Styela clava: one gene and its partner. The protein of the gene in region 1 binds, or shares a complex with, the protein of each later gene. Links are inferred from orthologs where the notes say so. Each region holds a gene or a part of one and is shown on either strand. Other genes may lie near its edges.

Evidence for each region.
Region 2: the proteins of uncharacterized protein LOC120336202 (region 1) and peptidyl-prolyl cis-trans isomerase NIMA-interacting 1-like are in contact, whole or in part, in an NMR structure (PDB 2N1O), measured with the Homo sapiens proteins. The link is inferred for Styela clava from reciprocal best matches to the Homo sapiens genes CPEB1 and PIN1. Residues at the interface, in NP_001352172.1 of Homo sapiens: Arg206, Ile207, Ser208, Pro209, Pro210, Leu211, Pro212, Phe213; in NP_006212.1 of Homo sapiens: Arg17, Tyr23, Ser32, Gln33, Trp34, Glu35.

Annotation. Positions count from the first base shown.
Region 1 is NC_135251.1:14,363,760-14,373,428, forward strand, and holds the start of uncharacterized protein LOC120336202, read left to right. Parts: upstream 1-6,126; 5' UTR 6,127-6,261; coding exon 6,262-6,388; intron 6,389-6,466; coding exon 6,467-6,559; intron 6,560-6,724; coding exon 6,725-7,069; intron 7,070-7,411; coding exon 7,412-7,480; intron 7,481-7,868; coding exon 7,869-8,044; intron 8,045-8,157; coding exon 8,158-8,398; intron 8,399-8,650; coding exon 8,651-8,764; intron 8,765-8,867; coding exon 8,868-8,957; intron 8,958-9,373; coding exon 9,374-9,507; intron 9,508-9,669.
Region 2 is NC_135254.1:5,014,150-5,023,521, forward strand, and holds the start of peptidyl-prolyl cis-trans isomerase NIMA-interacting 1-like, read left to right. Parts: upstream 1-5,518; 5' UTR 5,519-5,702; coding exon 5,703-5,769; intron 5,770-6,550; coding exon 6,551-6,636; intron 6,637-9,372. UniProt on the Homo sapiens protein: Peptidyl-prolyl cis/trans isomerase (PPIase) that binds to and isomerizes specific phosphorylated Ser/Thr-Pro (pSer/Thr-Pro) motifs.

The DNA of each region.
Region 1 (9,669 bases):
AGTTTGAGATATTACCAATTCGAAATTATTTTATTGAAACATTAAGATTAAAACTTTTCGCCTTTTTTGCGCTCCTGTCCAAACGGCGCCCATGGCACGAGCCATGGATGACACACCCTAGATACGCCACTGAACGTACAGTCAGGAGACCAAGCAATGACGTTAATTCTACAATCAGTTTTTATCACTTATTTCTTTTCCGTGTCAGTTTGATATAATATTCTTTCAATGTACGATTTCATCAAGTAACACTGTTATTTAAATCAACTTGGTCCAGTTTCACACTTTTCACGTGTTCATCAATCATAGAATCAGGAACGATAAATATTCGAGTATTGAAGTGTAGGGAACGGATGCTTGGCAGCGAATATGAAGGAAATAACAAAAAATATTGTTGGCAGTATCACCCTGAATATAACACTGAAAATCTTGCTAGAGATCAGTAACACTTAATAGGAGTACTTAATGCTGAAGTACAATGGAGAAGAAGATTCCCAATCCTGTATAGTTTCCATGATGAGGGAAACGTTTGGATTCCGCCATAGGCTAGACCCAGTGCCGGATTAACCATTAAACAGTATAAGCATTTGCTTAGGGTACCAAGCAAAGTGAGCCACCACAGAAATTTTAGAGCAGAATTTTTATATAGTTTATCGGTGTTTATTAAAATATTACAAGTTCACCAGACGACTTAAACTTCAAAATGTTAGTTTATTGTTCGTCTTCAAGTATCATATTAACCTTCTTTATTAAAAATAAACACTAAAACTTTTTTTTGGACACGAAATGGTCCTATGAGTCGTTTTCCTAAATTGTTGTTGTTTTTTCTTTCTAGTATTCTCCTTGTTAACCTAAAAAAAGTGCTTAGGACACCAAAGGGGCTTAATCCGCCCCTGGCCTCTCCCTCCATCACTGTAGCCAAACCATTTCGTTCTATCCAAAAGTTGCCGCTTGCATATCAGTGACTACCCATACGGAATAACTGTCACGTGGAATGCCTTAACCCTTTAACAGTCAACGCATTATATATAGCACACGGCATCTATCTAACAATGGAGATTCGCAAGGAACTATTTATTGACATGAATGAATTATACATAAAAAAAAACTTACGTGCCCGATAAAACACCATAAATATAAACAAAACTTGATTCGATAAACTGTGCCAGGCATTGTTCGTTAAGGCTGTAGAGCAGGTGTTTGGATGGACTTTAACATACTTTTCCAGGCTGGAAAGTACTGTACTTCCGTGGGGAAGTACAGAAGTTGCGGTAACCACTAAATAGGCGTCGGAGAATGATATTTCACAGTACGGATATGTTTAAGCTTACCATATTTCCCGCTTTAGGCGAGACAGTCCCGCTTTTTAGCGTTTTGTCCCGCCGTCCCGACAAGTCAGCCAAAAGTCCCGCGCCTAAAGAATGCGTTTGTTTCCCCGCTAACATTGTTAGAAAACGTATCTCACATGTACAACCAATACTAATTAGTCTAAATTCGAATTATTTGTACCGGTATCGTTAACGCCAATTCCTTTCTATTTTTCCAACTGAACCCGATATTTGGCCAGAGAATATGCGCATTAGTTTTCGATGGCAATATGGCCAATGAAGACAGCCTCAAATGTAGGCCCATGTAGTAAAATCGGAAAATGTAAAGTTACAAAATCACAACTAATGGGTCCTTGTCTTTAGAGGCGTCCCACTTTGAAGTCACAAAAATATGGTAACCTTAGATATGTATATATGCTAATTTTAATATACTATCAGGATAGTTACGGAATCAGGAAAGCGGACAAAAACCACTGAGTATAAATACTAGATAATTTGAGTTGAAAGAAATAGCGTAGTATGCGTTTTTTACCTGAAAATATGTTACAACAGTCCGATACAGTGATAGTTCAGCAGAGGAATCAGGTATATTTTAACTCCAGTTGTCTAAGTTTACAGTCATTTTTAACGATTAATTGATAATATTTGAATATATTGGTATATGTTTGAACCTACTGCAGCGTTTGTCAAATGCAACGCCCAATAGAACTAGCAAAACATTTAAAATAGGACCAAGGAGCGCACTGAGCGCCTTCAACCATACGCCAAATTTCGCCGATGTGTTCTCAGTACAACGTCATCGAAGGACCATGCTAATTTGCGTTCACTTTCGGAAAGGTTGAGTTTTAAAAATTGACTCTCCTAAACGAAGTCCATTTTATATGAGCTGTAATGGCTAAAAATATCAAAAAATTACATAGAATAAAATTCATAACAAAGGTTTTTCGGTGATAATTTTTTTTCTTTCTATTGAAAAAATAAAATGAAACAATAAATCAATTTATGAGGTCCAATTCATAACATCATAAAATGGATTCGACATCAATTTGATCTCCAGTATACCATATTCGATTAATAATATAATACCAATTATACAGTCAAAAGAATTCATAGTCCATGATGTATGAAGGTTTAATTCCAATATTTGAATAATTCCATGATCCAATTGATTTGTATTCCACCATACCAATATCGTCAGCATGATATAAAGATCCAATTTGTCCATAGAGGTTATATATAACATAGCACATATTTTGAGAAAATGAAAAAAAGAAAAAAAAATGTTAAAAAAAAATAATACGACCATAATCTTATCTTGTAATTGATATTTGAATATAATACAATAAACATAATCAATTCAAACCATATAATTTCTAAGCCCAAAATAGACAGGTAATAAAAAATACACCAAGTTATTCTATGGGGGTTTCCCCATTCGCCACTTATGTTCACATAACTCTTTTTCTCCTTTAAAAAGTGAAGAAAAAACAGCAATACACTCGATCACAAGAGAGCTATGCTCAAAATATGAACACGTAGCGCCACATAATTTTATTGACGTCATATTAAAAAATAAAAGTAATAGCCTTCTAGAGAAATATTCCATCTTCAACCACTGAAAATTTCAAAGCAATTGGTCTAGTAATCAAAGAGAAAAGCGATTTTTTCAAAACGATACAAAGAACAAGAACAACATAATATTGAAACGATCGTTATGTCACCTACGTGTCCAATAATACAACAACTTCATCTAGTAAATCATAATTTTCATGTTATCACAATTAACATACAATTTTATCATGTAACTATGTAAATATTTTTTAGATGATGAATATAAAAAACAGCATCACAGATTTTTCTAAAAGAATTTCAATCTTTTCATCTCCTAATATTTTCTTTTTCATAAACTCATTCATAACTCTTATAGATCCTATCACCACGCATTTAAACATCGTTCGAAATACAGACTGATAGGTTTCCAAATCTTGAAATACTATGTCATTTCTGAAATTCCAAATCGCTGCTTTACCACAAGAGATAATTAGGTTCACTGATTCAATTTCAACATCTTGGGTGAAAATACTAGGTTCTGTATAATTTGATAAATTTAGCCACTTCCAAAAATGTTTTGTATAATCACAATTAAAAAATAAATGCATACAATCTTCTATCTGTCACAAAATAAGCAATTGCCATTTGCTACATCTGACCAATGTCTAATTCGTTATTCCATTGGAAGCCCATTTTGTAAAATCTTTCAACTTAACACTTGATTTTTTCTGGGAGTATAATTTGCCCACACTTCATTCCCACTAAAATTAGGTCTTGAATTAAATTTAGAAATAGTCCCAAAACGTTTCTGTTTCCATTGGTCAATGTTAAACTTTTTTAATGATCTTCTATCAAACATTTTTGTTGTGGGATTTTCAGGAAAACCGTATTTAAAAGACATCAAGACGGGATTATGATCACCAGTTTTTTTCTCTCAATAAATCTTACCATTCTTGAGGAATTGATCTTAAAATTTTCTGAACACACCAAATCACATTCCTTATTTTATTTTTTTGCTTCATTTTCAGCCAAGTTTCCTATTTTATCTTCTCCATATATTTTTTCAGTAATTAGTTTACATGATAAATTAACAATAGGCTATGCTCTATTTTCGTTATATTTGCCTTAATCCAATTACTTACATCCTCTGTATGATTTCTCAAATTAATCAATAGATTAAACCAAATATACTCTAAAATAAATTTCGGATCTTGGTTTTAAAAGAATTTCTTTGTATATATATTTAAAGCCCTGAAATAGTTGACAATATTTGTGTAAAACTGAGGTAAAGATTTTTTTAAATTATTTCTCAAACTCACATAGATAATTTCAAGATTAGAGGTTTCAAGTTTAGTGTAATAGCTATTAATATATATTTTGGCTCTGCCACTCCGTGGTGCTACCATTGATCAATTTCTACAACCATTTTAGTTGAATACTCCTGATCTGCAATTCGAGATCAATACATCCTAAACCACTCTGCATTTTACTAGCACAGCATACACTCCTGCTTATATATTCTTGTTTCCCCCCAAAATTTCTAAGTTAATTTTTTTAAAGTTGACAAAAAATTATAAGGTACTATTCTAAAAGATGCTAAACACCAAACTTTTGACAGCAGTAATTGTTTAGTGATTATATTCTTTCCAATCATTGTTAGGTTCCTACCACGTCATAAATTTATAACATTTTGAATTCTTCATATAACTGGATTCCAATTTTTATCAAATTTAATTTTATCATTTCCTATCCAGCAACTTAATACTGATATAAGGTCCCTGGAAACGTTAAGTTCACGAACCTAAATAATTGGCAAGTTTACTAAATTGCCACATACTAGTATTTGTGATTTATTTTTATTCATATAGGTCCCTGTTGCTTTTTCAAAATGTTCAATAACATTCATAGATACACATAAAGAATAGTAATCCCTCAAAGTCGACAATGCGTCATCTTATATTTTTGTTCCTCATTCGCTACATTAATAAAACCTCTAATTTGTGGATTATTTCTAATATTACATGCAAATACTTCAGCATATAAAGTATCGGAGACAGTGGACAACCTTGCCTTAAAACTGTTTCAACTATAAATTCCTTGCCAATATAACCATTGGTTATAATTTTCGAATTCATCTTTGTATAAATAAATTTTTGTAAGAGATATCCAAAATGGCCCGAAATTGAATTTTTTTAAAACTTTAAACAAAAATTCCCTATACACACTATCATAGGCCTTCTCCCAGTCTATTGAGAACAATAAGAGATCAGTTTTTGAATAGTTTGCATGGAAAATATCATCTCGAATTGTTATCAAATTTTCATGTATATTTCTGCCATACACAAATCCCGTTTGATCTGGATGAGTCAGTTTAGGAAGTTTATATTTAATTCGATTACACAATATTTTGGTAAAAATTTTATAATATAAATTAAGTAATGAAATAGATCTCCAATTGGTTAATTTGTTCCTTCCAACTTTTTTATACAATAAAGTAATTATTGGCTCTGCCATAGTTTCGGTAAGTTGTCCAGAAGCTATACAACAATTATATACAACGAGTAAAATAGTTTTGACTTTGCCCCGGCATATTGTATAAAATTCCTTCGTAAGACCATCTAGGCCCTTTTTTTTTCAAATAATCTCTGCTCTTCCTGTATATCATTAACATTTGTAAGGATTGTACCATCAACTGTCTCCAATTCTTTAGAAAGTTTAATTTGCCCTCTATGTTTCTCTAAATTGAAATAGTAAGAACTAGATTTTTCGCCTTTTTCATGCCATCTTATTCTACTTCTTATAATATTTCCATGCACTTTTTTTTTCGATAAATTATCCAACTCCTCTTTTTTTAATTCAACCTCGTGTCTTTTTTCTATATCAAACCTATTATTTTCATAATCCATTAGAGCTTTCTGGTATTTATTTATCATCGAATTTTCTTTTGCTTCTCCCCAAGTTTTCAAGCATTTTCCACAGTATATTGCCCAATGTTTAATTTTAGCTGTGATCCCACCTCATCTTTAAACGTGTATACATGTTCAGAATGTCGTTTACACAACAATTCAAAGTAAATTTCTGTTTTTCATAGTACGAATAATTACTCCGGCGAATAATTATCTCGGCGGGTTGCGTTAAACGAATCAGGTGGTTTCAACATATCAAGTATGAATCATACTTGAAACACAGCAGTACGTTTGTAAAATAAGATGTAATTAAAGTAACTGCAAGTTGTGTAGAGATTGATGCTATAGTTGTAACTGAAGATCGTCATTTGCTTTCGGTGCTGACTCTGTCTGGTTTATCTGACTTATACGAGCATCAGTTTTGGCAAGCCGTGGGGGTGTTGCTGTCGTACACCTTGATTTGGAACCTATTTTAAATGAATACTAACAATATGACAGCAACGGCAGGCTATCAAAGCGAAGAGCTTTTTCGTAATATGAATAATCTGCTCGGCAATACGTTAGACCTGCGCGGCATCAATGAAGGAGCCTCCACTTCAGCAGGTTCGTTTTACAGACTGTTGTGATTCTGATTTTTTGATCGATGACTTCATATCTTTATTCATCAAAATTATATAACAGAACCAACCAGAGATAGCTCGTATGCGGCTTGGTCAGCACAGGCTGGTTCACCCAACAAGCAAACGACAGGGTCTGGCAACGCAAACAGTCAAGGTGGTGTTTTTGCTATAAATAACGTTTCATAATCCATTTGATTGTTGTCGCTTTACTCACTAACTTACAATAAAACACTACATGAGCAAAAAAGGCTTTTATTTCACGTTTATTAGTTTTACTAAATTTTATTTTGTATAATTCGAAACCGACGATTGTGTCTAGGAAACAATGGCAGAGAAGTTTCGGATTTCATCAACAAGATCAGTGGAATGAAAAAGGAATTGACCTCTTCAAATAGCAATAATAATAACACCAACAGTAACACAGAAAATTTGGTTAATATTATCAACCATCAGCGAGAAATGGCGGCAAAACAGATGGCAAAAAACACGGACGTACAGCAAAGACTGAAGGAACTGCAGCATCCAGGGATAAGTATGCGTCGCACAGTGCCGGACGTTCATCAAGTCCCTGCCTTTGACTATCCGATTATTCCTGAGGGCTACGCAAACAAGTTGGATATTGACACTAGCATTCGACAAATTATGAATCGTTCTGCTCGCCGAGGTAGAGTATGATACGTGATTGCATTTTGTTTGTCATCCATCTTTGTCTTAAATTTCCAGCGTAGACTAATACTATGTGTAATGTACATCTGTGTTTTGCTTTTTATAAGGCGTTCAACTTGCACTTCTCATCGGCTGCGTGATTTCAAAATGTGACACGCTCAGTAATGACCCTGTGTTAGGTTGTTTGTTACCTTTTTCAGATATTAGTGTATTTTCTGGCGTACGGAGATCCTTTTTTTTAAAGAATCTTCCTGCAAGTACACAGAATCGTTTTTGTACATTAAGTAAAATTTTTGTAGTAAATAAATATAGTTTCAGGTAAGATTATATTAATTTTAAGCTGACGGACTCCGCGCAAGAACACCAGATCCTGGCGATTTCGCTTCGCTCATTGGACCGCCTCTTCTGTGTAAGTTTATGAATTTTTATTAACTGGTACTAAAAGTGTAGATATTGGAATCAATTACTAACTTTGTTCAAAAAGATGAATTCATTTCTGAAATAAAGTAGATCATGTTCAATTTAATAGATTAATGTTAGAAAACGACTAAAACGAGGTATACCGGGTCGCCTTTACATACCTACTCCCCAGCGTTTTTCTAATATATATATACATATATTCATTGTTTCAGTTAAACATTTTCCTTTAAAATTCAAAATGGTCTCTGCTCCATTATTTTTTTTTGACATGCGATTTGGATTTCTCAGGTCATTTTTACATTATATAAGCTCCATAACATACTGACTAATGGTATCTTAATGATTAATTTAAATATGATAAATCATGACTCTCCCAGCTCCACAGGAACTCCAACAAACCCTGTCATTGAGCATGGAAGGTGCACCGCTCCATCTTAGTACATTGAACAGCGATGGGCTAAGCACACATTCATCTCATGACGCAAGTGGCTCCAGTATGAATTCCAGCATTTTGAGTTCTGGATCTGATCCGATGTCCATATCAGAATTAGTGGTAACTGTTTTTATTGTGCTTTATTAGGCATGTACGTGTACAATATAGAATAAAACTAAGACTATAACTTTCTCATAGTTGAAATAAATACAACGAAATGATTACATTTTTAGAGTGGAATTCAAGGTCTCCATATGGGACCAAGTCGCAATTCAATATCTGGTCGATCCACTCCAATTGTGCCCAGTCCTACAGACTGGTGCGATGCGTCCACCCCGCGACAATATTACAACCCCGATGGCGACATTGGCATGATTAACCCGTTCTCCTCAGAGCAACTGTTGGATGTTGCTTCATTATATGGAGTCTCTGACAAAATGGAATATGACGCAAGACTTCATCGTTCCGCTGCTGGTAAAGTTTATTTTATCGATTTTCAAATCAGAAATATGAATGTTAATTTTATTGCCAGAGCAATCAAAAAGCCCAAGTCTTTTAAATTAGGTCAACAAAATTTTTCTGTAGTTTGGTATATGATGTATGTCCATCATGATATAATATTTCAAATAAATATTATATTACATAATTATATAATTGGGAGTTTTCTTAAAGTTTGATGAGTAAAAATTGTGTGATATTTTAAATTTCATGCCACTCGCATTACAGCGTCGTGTGAGGCGACCTTTACTTGGAGCGGGCATCTTCCTATTCGCCATTACGTTGCGCCCACTTATTCACCAAAGGTGTTTCTTGGTGGAGTACCGTGGGACATCACCGAAGGTATGGAGAATATAATATTTTTGTACAAAATGCTTCCAAATCACACAATATAAAAATGGATTGCTATAAGTGTATTATAAAATCTGCTTTTATCATCTTGCAGCGTCATTCCATCTGACTTTCAAACCATACGGACTAGTTCGGGTTGAATGGCCAGGAAAAGACACCAAAGGACCTCGCTATCCTCTACGAGGTTGGTTGGCTGAAAATTACTGAATGTATATCATTTCATATGAAAAGTATCTCCTTATTATTTATATCAGTGGTTTTCAAAGCCTTTTTTTCTAGAAACATCCCAAGAAACCCCTGTGCAGTAGTCCAACTGTCCTTTAATGTCTGAATTGTATGAACAGTAAATATGAGGCCCAATAGGTGTTTGATTATATTCAAACAATATGATTTGAATGGAAAGGCGGGAACCCCTGGACTGTATTGGCGGAAACCTAGGGTGCAGCGGCGCCACGGTTGAAAACCAACGCTCTGTATACACCATATGTCCATTAATATTGCAGGCGCTAATTAAAAAGAGTGGCAACAAACATCCATGGCTATGACAGTATTTTTCATTTTTTAAATTTACTCATTGATTGAATGAAAAATTGTGTGCAGCTGGATACGTTTATCTGCTATTTGAAAGTGACAAGTCCATAAAAAGTCTCCTGCATAACTGTACTCGAGATGTCACAACCAACGAATGGTTCTTTAGGCTGTCGAGTAGACGCATGCGCAGCAAAGAAGTGCAGGTATATTTTCTTGTCTCATTGTTGTTCAACATTCTAATTAAACTGCACTTACTGTTATTGCGAGTTTCGGGGTTTTTGGACCCCATATTTTTGAAAGAACTTTTGTTCGCGCCTTTCTCTTTGCACAAGGCAATGTATAGGTAGCCATTGATATCGAACGAT
Region 2 (9,372 bases), on another chromosome or scaffold:
TTTGGGGTAAATATAACAAGGATGGCAAAGATCTACAAGGGGTAGACTGCAAAAGTTTGATAAATGCGAAGGCAGGGCAAGCCACGCCAAACATGATAAATAATGAAAAGTATATTCTGTTGAGAGATACCGACGCTACAGATGGTAAACCATTTAAAAAAGGTTCTAAAAGCGCAGTAGTATATCATGACACAAAACATAAGTGTGCTTTTCTCGTTACCAGCGATACTAAGAAGCCGGATGAAATGCTTCCCCCACTTGCAAAGGCGGTAGATTCCTGGACATAGAAGAACTCGTGCCACATGAAAGACTGGATGTTGAATATAATCTCAAAGTGTTAACAATATTTAGAACGGATTTTAATAGCTCTTGCCAGATTGGTCTATTTTAAAGTCCATGCAGCATTTAAAACGAATAATTGATTATATTTCCAAATTCCGGACCTGTACTTGAAAGTGTCATCAACTTCTTCTTGAACGTTCTTCTCGATGAGTGAAAACCTAAAAATCTTGGAAAAAATATAAACACACTATGATTGCAGAACAGCTTAGGGAATAAATCTATTGTTGATGGGCCACCCACCCATTTACCTTTTATTTAATCCTAATCTAAAAAAAATTCAATTTAATGTCTGATGATTTAATATTATATTGTATGAATCTTGACATACCAATAATCTAGAAAGATATTTTAATTCTATTTGTGCGTTGTGGCCTTTTTCCTCTACGCTCCTGAAATCATTCATCGAAACTTGCTTTGACATAATACTGTTAATCAGAGTATTTTTATGTTCTGTGTCCATTTGGTATCAAATGGTACCAGTTGGTTGTGTTTTTCTCAAAACAATTTTAGTGTAAATTATTTCATTCAAATAGGCTACAAATCTGACCTGGTTTAGCATTTGCAAACTTGTCGCCAAAATTTGACAATATTTTCGAAATTAGTATCTGAAAATATAACAATGTGCATGGAAAAAAATTGAGAAATTTAAACAGTTTCTTTTGCACAGCTGGACTTTCTGAAAAACATTTTACTGAACATTTCATCGTGATATTGAATTGCTTGCATGGCAACCAATATTTTTTTCATCCAAATGTGAAAAATTAAGTTTTAATCGACTGACCGAATTCACTATTCGAATACATTTAAAAAAACTTATATTTCAAAGTATAGAATTCACTTTACATTGGAATTTTTGGAATCAATTCGTCTCCATGAAAACTTGAAAAAGCTATATTTATCGCTGGCTTTTACAACATTGTTAACCAGAGAGTTTTCACATAAAAATATCTCAATTCTCTTATTGGAATAATTTTTAAAATGTTATCGAATGTTGGCTTCGGTCATCCATTTTGTAATGCTATAACTTCTCGATTTATTTCGTGGGTTGGGGTGTTAGAGATTATTCAGTGCACAGTTAATTTTCATACTCAAGACGGAATTCTGTTGAATTGTTCAACTATTTTCAGTTTAAATATAATTTTCGGGATTTACTGCAATGTAGAACCGTAATATCTGTTCTTAGATCTATTGCGAAATAAAACTGCTCAATTGATAGGGTCTCACAAACAACGCATTTCCCATATTAAGTTACTACAAATAAATTTGTATAAATTGTGATTATTTTCCAGTTGTAATTTCAATTGAAAGTGTTTTAATTCTGGCTGCTAGTGTCTTTCATCACCCCTTTTGGTCTCCCCGTCCCCACTGTAACTACTGTATTATATATTGCATTTACTGCATATTCAGAAAAGATCTCCGATTGAAGACATGTTAATTATGAAAATTGAGTCTGTGTTTTTTCGATTGAGTCGTTGGGTAGGTATTAGGAAGCAGGCTGGGATTAAGTCAGTTGGGTGCGATGACGTAACGGTTCGCGATTCGACTGAGTTTCGTTGGCATTGCAGTTTTCGTGGTGACTGTACATTTAAACCCATGTGTATATCCGCGGGTTCAAACTATGTGCAGGTGCTGAAACCCGTAGGTTAGGGTTAGTATTCCATAGGTGCAGTAGTATGCGGGTGCAATTGTCGTGGGTTCAAATGTCCATGTTTGGAGCGATAAGGGCCGAAGAAAAAATTAACATAAAGGTGGGACGGTCGATAGTTTGATTTGAATTTCGAACAGAAGGTTACTATATGCCTTGGCCTGTCTGTTTGTCGTATTTCCATGTGATGCCTGTAGGGTCCTCTTATTTTCATAGGCAGCGCTCTCGAGGTGTATATCTATTCAATTGCGGACATGATTCTCCCTGGCACCTTAGCTCGGTTCCAAATACTTCTGGCTTCCTGCTATCTGTATATGCTCGTTTTACCGTCCGATCCTGATTAAGGGCTCGTTTGAATAGCCGCCCGTGTGAACAGAACATGAAAATAAGTAAGGGCCGGTGCTTGAATACTCGCCTGATGTAAAAGCTGATTTTTCAGTGGTAGAGAACAATGGGAAATAAAAAGCGCTTTTGTCACAACGCTGTTGAATTTTAAGCGCTGGTAGATAACACTCACGCCTTATGCGTCCAATTACATAACAGATAGCCTTGATTACTCAAACTGGGCGTCTGCGACTACCAAGTGCGTCGTTTCAATATTGATAGGGCGTCGCAATTTTTACTTTAAAAATAACAAGCGCCTGTGCTTGAATAAGGGCCCGGTTAGTGAGTTTGGTTAAAAAAATATGGGCCCGGGCTACAAAACGAGCAAATACGGTATATAAGAATACCCAGTCATGTTTTGAAGCGTTTTTACCAGTTATTTTATGACCCATTTCAATTGTAGAAAAGCCAACAAACGTAACAAAAAATAAATGCATTACATTCCAAGAAATCGACTTTCTTTTCCATGAAGATGAGTGTGTGAACTCAATCCTACTCAATGTTGGTTATGGATAAGTCGGGTTATGCCCCACCATTCTCTGTTAATCTTGGTAGGAAATTTGTAAGATAAGCAGATGGAGGTCGGTGAATAACCTAACATATAAGATAAACAACACAGAAAATTTAGCGTTGGGCAATGACAGTATAGTGCCCGATAAAATATTCCAATATTACAGAATATTAGCAAGCATATCGCACCGCTGACAGTGCGTTTTTTGAGTTATTATTCTGGCAGGAAATCCTGTCGACAGAATTGGAGAAATGTTTGTTTGTATTCTATCAAGTGCTCAACATAGAAAAATATCACAAGTTGAGCATCGTTTATCTATTATTCAAGCTTGGGAAATATATCCAATTGACAGACTGCGAAACGGTGAATGCACGTTCCGGCAAAGTAGGAATTTTTGGTAGTAATTACAACGTTTTTGATAGTATTTGCAACGTTTTTTGGTGGAAAAAGTGGGTTTGTTGGGAAGATATTGTTCCATGCACGATTGATGGTCGAAACCCATGTATTCAGAGGTAATTTGAATTTAATATATTAATAGACATGATATGTTCTGGGTTAGGATAGGAATTTAAATTGAGAAATGGGGAGAGTATTTAAAATAAGATTCTTGATATGTTTTGGGTCAGGATAGATGTATTACTTTGGCAAATGGTTAGAGTAAACATGTGTCAGTGTGTAATTATGGAGTCGAAATAAACTTATACAAGTGTGATTCATGGTAAGCTATGGGTTGGGGCTGTAGGGTGGAATAGAATAGCTACAGGAGTGGTGACTCAGGCAGGGGCCACGGCCCATCTAATTTGGCCACATGGGCCGTGGCCCATCAAGCTATGGGCCGCGGCCCCATCGGGAAAAATTCAATTATCTTACTAAAATTTTCAATTTTTACAATATTGTCAATATTCGAACCGAAAAAAAATCGCGAGATGCCAGCAAATTTTTTTCTTACGGTAAGCCTCTATATTTAAATTAAGCAAAATACCAAACAACAGAAAAGAATAGCCTACTCCTGTAGTATGTGTACCAGGTTAGGGTTAGGACAAAATCTTGTTCAAAATTTTTCACATTATAGTTCTATTATGAGTGTGGTGACTGACTGTGTTAGCCAAGTAAATAGTCCATTTACACAACTTGATGGGCCGTAGACTGGTAGAGGAATCACCACTTCCACTCTAGAATAGGTAGGAATAGCTATAAAGCTCCCATCCAGTGGCTAGGTATGACATGGTATTTTTTGGGTTAGGCAAAACTAGGGGTTCAGGTGTAGTTTAGTACGGTACCACATACAGACATATACTTCTAATTTGAAAAGCTATATGACGTGATTGTGACGTCGTAGTTATGTAAATTTTGGATGACATAGTCAAGTGGGGTTAATAATACTGTAATAACATATGCAAAAATAATTTTGTCCAGCCCACTAGGCTTGTTGTACTATACTACGTTAAACCCAAGTTAGGATAGATATGAAAATTTAGTCACGTTTTGATTGAGTAATCATATGTTTGCTCGGTATCAGATGCTAGAAATACGCTCTGTCATTGCACCTCTGACTACCCTGCATGGGTTCGCAGGTCGAATGCTGTGGGGGAAAAAATGTCCTGAGAGGATTGCTGGCCTTCCCGCCGCCGTAGGCCATATCACGTAACCGCTGAATGATTTAAACAGCACAAGGCTCAACTAAATATGGAAAGAGTACTGACAAATTGCAAGTGCCATTCATTTGCTAAATTCAGTTTGCCCGATAGAGATATCAGTGGTTGACACAAGTAGACAGTGGTCTACATCTGGGTTTCTTGAACTGGGGTTCGTGATGGCTCCACGAGGGTCCGCAACGAAATGAAAAGATTACGAAATATACATTTAATGGTGCTCCCGAAGTATGCGAACCAAGATGGCGGACATCGGAACGTAACATGGGTAACAGGTTAGGGTTAGGCGATAATTTCTTTCCAATTTTCCTTATTTTAGTCCTATTATCAGTTCGAAGACTAGCCAAGAGCCTCCCGTAGTATTTATACCTAAAATTATGGCCTAACCCTAACCTAGTACACATATTACATTCCGATGTTCGTCATCTTGGTTCGCATACTTTGGGAGCCCCCATTTAATATCATGTAGGCTATATATCCATTGTCACGTAGCGATTCGTAAACAAGATAATGTCGTAAGTTCAGGCGATCGCAAATCGTAATTGTTACGAAACCAATGGAAGTGAAAAAATTATAGTAAAACGATCCTTGCTTCCAGTGTCTGTGAGGTGGACCTTCATCGGGGAGCAACGAATATAAAAGTATTTATTGCACTATAGCATTGGTTTCCAGCTTTTTATATCCTGTGGCCCCCATTCGGAGACTTTTAGCACTCATGGCCCTCCTGTTTATCACTTCAGTGGTATTTATGATGTTATTTTGATTTGGAACAATATTTCCCTGCCTCATCTGATATTCAAATTTTCTGTATTCCAGCGACCACCTTGTATATGAGCATGTCTTGAATCTTTTCTTGGATTTTTATTTTCTGTATATTTTATTGTTTATATTGCCTTGTATAAATCAGAATAATTAATATTTTATCTTAATAATGTTGTTGAACTTTCTTATCAGGATTTGAAATAATATTGTTGTAAAAAAATTTATTTGTTTCTTGCTTTGTTTTAAGGAATATTGTAGATAAAACTAGTTTATACTGGTTTGAACCAGTTAAAACCGAGATAATCCAGCTGTGAATTGTCTGATTATATCTCAAGCTATCTGACAACAGTTTGTCTTGTTTATCATCCCGTGCAAATTGGAGCAGACGAAACCAGTCTAATCCAGTATGAGCGAGTCAGAACCGGTTAGTCCACTTCCAGATGGTTGGATAAAGAAGGAAAGCAGATCATCAGGTAGTTATGACTCACAATTGAAGGATTTTAACCAAGCATTATTTTAGTCCAGTGGTTCTCAAACGGTGGCGCCCCCCCCGAATGGGGGTATGGGCAATTTTTCGAGGGGGCTCGAAGCTAATTGAAAATGGTAAAAAAATGTTAGATTTGATCTTGCCTGCCTTATTTTGGATATTTTACATTTCGAAACTTTTTATTCGTATCAATATGTACGTTCCATCCACATATTTTCAACGTGCTTTTCAAATAAATCATACTTTTGCCTTACTATCTGTTATTTGTAGCTTATTGTTAGCTAGTTATTTTAGAGGTGGGACATGAAATTTGACAAATTCTAAAAAGGGGGCGTGGCTCAAAAAGTTTGAGAACCACCGTCCTAGTACATTTTATTTATTTATTCAAGACATTTGAAACGTCCATATAAAATGACAAACAAAAAACAATAATTAATAATAAATAAGGGGAAGTAAATAGTACAGAAAATGCATTATATAGGATTTACATATTCATCCCGGGAGGAGAGGAAAGCCTATAAAGTGGCTTGATTACATGGCGAACCACGGCCTCTTGTCTGTTTCCATACTATGTCGGGTATAGAATTAGTTATCCAGTATGCGAATCCTATACCTAACGTTTACCACGCTGCGCCACACTGCTGTGTGTGCAACGTGCAGACATGCAACATATATATATATATATATACAGAGAATCTGTGATTGTGCAAGTATCTTGAATTCCAATTTTTTGTCATTTTTGTCAACTTTCTTTTTGTGCTTCTCAGGGAGACATTACTATGTGAACAAATACACGAATGCGAGTCAATGGGACAGACCAACCTCAGAAGCAGTGAAACCAGCAAGACCAGAGGTAGGAGATGATTTTTTTTTTTTTCTTGAGTGAAAGGAAAGCTGATGAACCGTGTTTGGAAGCTCGAGCGATCACAAGTCAACAGTTATCTAAGATGAATATAATAAAATATAATCATAAGTTGCAAGAGTTTCCAACAAAGGAATTGAAATTTGCTGTTGTAAATATAGCTATCAATCGGAGTTATGTAAGACTATGGAATCGCTTTTCTTGTCTTTGTTGACATGCTTGTCTAGCGAGGACAAATTATTAATCAATTGTGTCAGTGGACCAGGTGAATAGCCAGGAATAATTGAAGGAGGGAGATCTGGAATTTTTATTAATTGTCGAGTTGGACCATAGCAGCCAGCGAGTCCGACTGGACGACCCTGACTTTGTCCCAGTGTGAGAATAGCTGGGCGGATGCATGAACTAGACTAGTGAAGGGAGTCTTTCTATTAACAGTGTGATTGCTGTTTAATGAGATTGAGACCAAATTGGGAAAAATGGGTAAAGTGAGAGAAATATTAGTCCTAGTAAATCGAACGTCTCACCTAAGTAATCTGGAGAAATATTCCCCAAACTCTGTAAAGTCTGCATATGTTTAGGTGGATGCTTGCCCAGAGCCATCTTCACAAAATTGCTATGTATGATACATAATGGGGTGTACTAGGGCAGGGGTGTGCAAACTGTGGCCCGCGGGCCAAATGCGGCCCCCAAGGAAATATTGTGCGGCCCGCTGAGAAGTGCCAATTTTGAATAGTGTGCCCGCAAAAAGAATTTTTAGTTTAGTTATTGTGACACGTGCGAGAAATTTTAATCACTTTACGTCGCAAAGCCAGTACCCGAGTGCCACTGTCATATTAGCAAAACTAGCTAGCAAAAACAGTTTTTGTGTGTGAAACTACTATAAACTATATCTTAAATAAAAGTACAGCCTGTGACTTCACTCAATCACTTGAATCTGGCCTTCCTGTAATAAAGGTTGCACACCCCTGTACTAGGGTATTGTGTATTGAACTGCAGGTCCTTTCTCCTTGTTTACTTTATATTCCGGATCCGTATGTGGCTGTTGCCACAAGGATGTGTGACTGAGATAGTATTATGAAGATAAATAAAAATAACATAATCTCTTTCCACGAAATATTAAGTATATTATATAGTATATAGCTATTTGATTAGGCCATATCTTGTTTTATCTGGAGAAGTTGGACTATGATCTAACGCAGTGGTCGGCAACCTTTTTCCAGTAACAGACCGGTAAAGCCTGACCAAAATTTTGTAATAAATAATATGCGTTAGAAAATGTATGTTGACAATACATTCAAAAACAAAGGTGATACTATTCATGTAACGTATTTCTCACTCACGTTAAACCCACTTCGATCTTTCGTTTTTGTAATTGCCATTTTAAAAACCCAACCTCACATGAAGATAACAATGGCATTGTACGTTTTCATGTCACCATTCTGCGGACCGGTAGTGACCTTTCCACGGATCAGCCGCGGCCCGGTGGTTGCCGACCACTGATCTAACGACAAATATAAAATATACTTGATATCACAAATATACTTGATATTTCATGGAAAGAGATTATGTTATTTTTATGATACATAAAATTGCTTTTTTATATTTCATTTGGGGGTCAGACCCTCAAAAACCCCTGTAGTGGCAGCAAGCCCCCTTAATCACAAAGAATAGTCCTCTGTTTATGACATGAAACTCAGAAGGAATATTTTATTCCTTTTGATATATATAAGTTAGTATATTTTTGTTTTGTAATTTGTAACATCAGGCAGTGAAATTTGAAATGACCTAATTTGACTAATTTCAGATACTGTGGAAAATAATATGCAATTTGATGTAAATTTAATTCAAAAAACCATTTCCCTTTTAGTTTGAACATTCTGAATTTTCTGTTGTGATTTGAATATGTTGTTCATTGAGCAAGTTGACTGCTACAAATGTACAAATCTTTGTGCACAGTGAAAGTGAATGTACAGTGCCGTATTTCTCAACCTTTGGTTCATCACCCAAAACTGTCCTGAGTTATTTCATTTAGATGGGGGCTTGCCAAGTTGGGTGTAGTGACCCCATAGAGGGTGCGCAAGGAATATTAGGGTACGCAAAGCCCCAAGGGTTGAATGGTATGTTTTATCTTCAGGAAGTAATTAAAAAAAATAGAAATTTGTTATGCAAATTCAACGTTACTCAAATTTCATGAGACCATATGGTTAAAAAGCTTTCTTCTTATTAGGCTCTGTCAAGTATGAAATATAAATAGACTATAGTACAATAGCTTGCCAAGTTTGGGAGAGATCATAGACCAGATTTTACTCACTGGTGCAGCCAGGGATGGTGAAAACCAAATAAATGCTTTTTCTAGACACTTATCGTATTTATTCGAGTATAACTCGAAAAATTGCTGGACGTGTTGCTGGACGAATTTTTTTTCTACAAAAAACTACTCTTGATATTTGCCTCGATTAATGCAAAGCCATCTTGCTTTTGAAACATAATTGCTGAACAGCTGGCTTTTGATTTTCAAATTTCAATTTTATTTTTGTGCGGTCAGGAACGGTCCATTGATAAAAAGATATAAAAGTCATAGCACAGTCAAATTGCTGACTCGTGTGGCCTATTCACTCCAAAGACAGGAAGTGTTCGCTTCCTGCTTTCGCTCTCTTTAATCCAATTATATGAAACCATGTGTTCAGCCATATGATTGTGTGTGTGTAATGTCTGTATTACAATGCA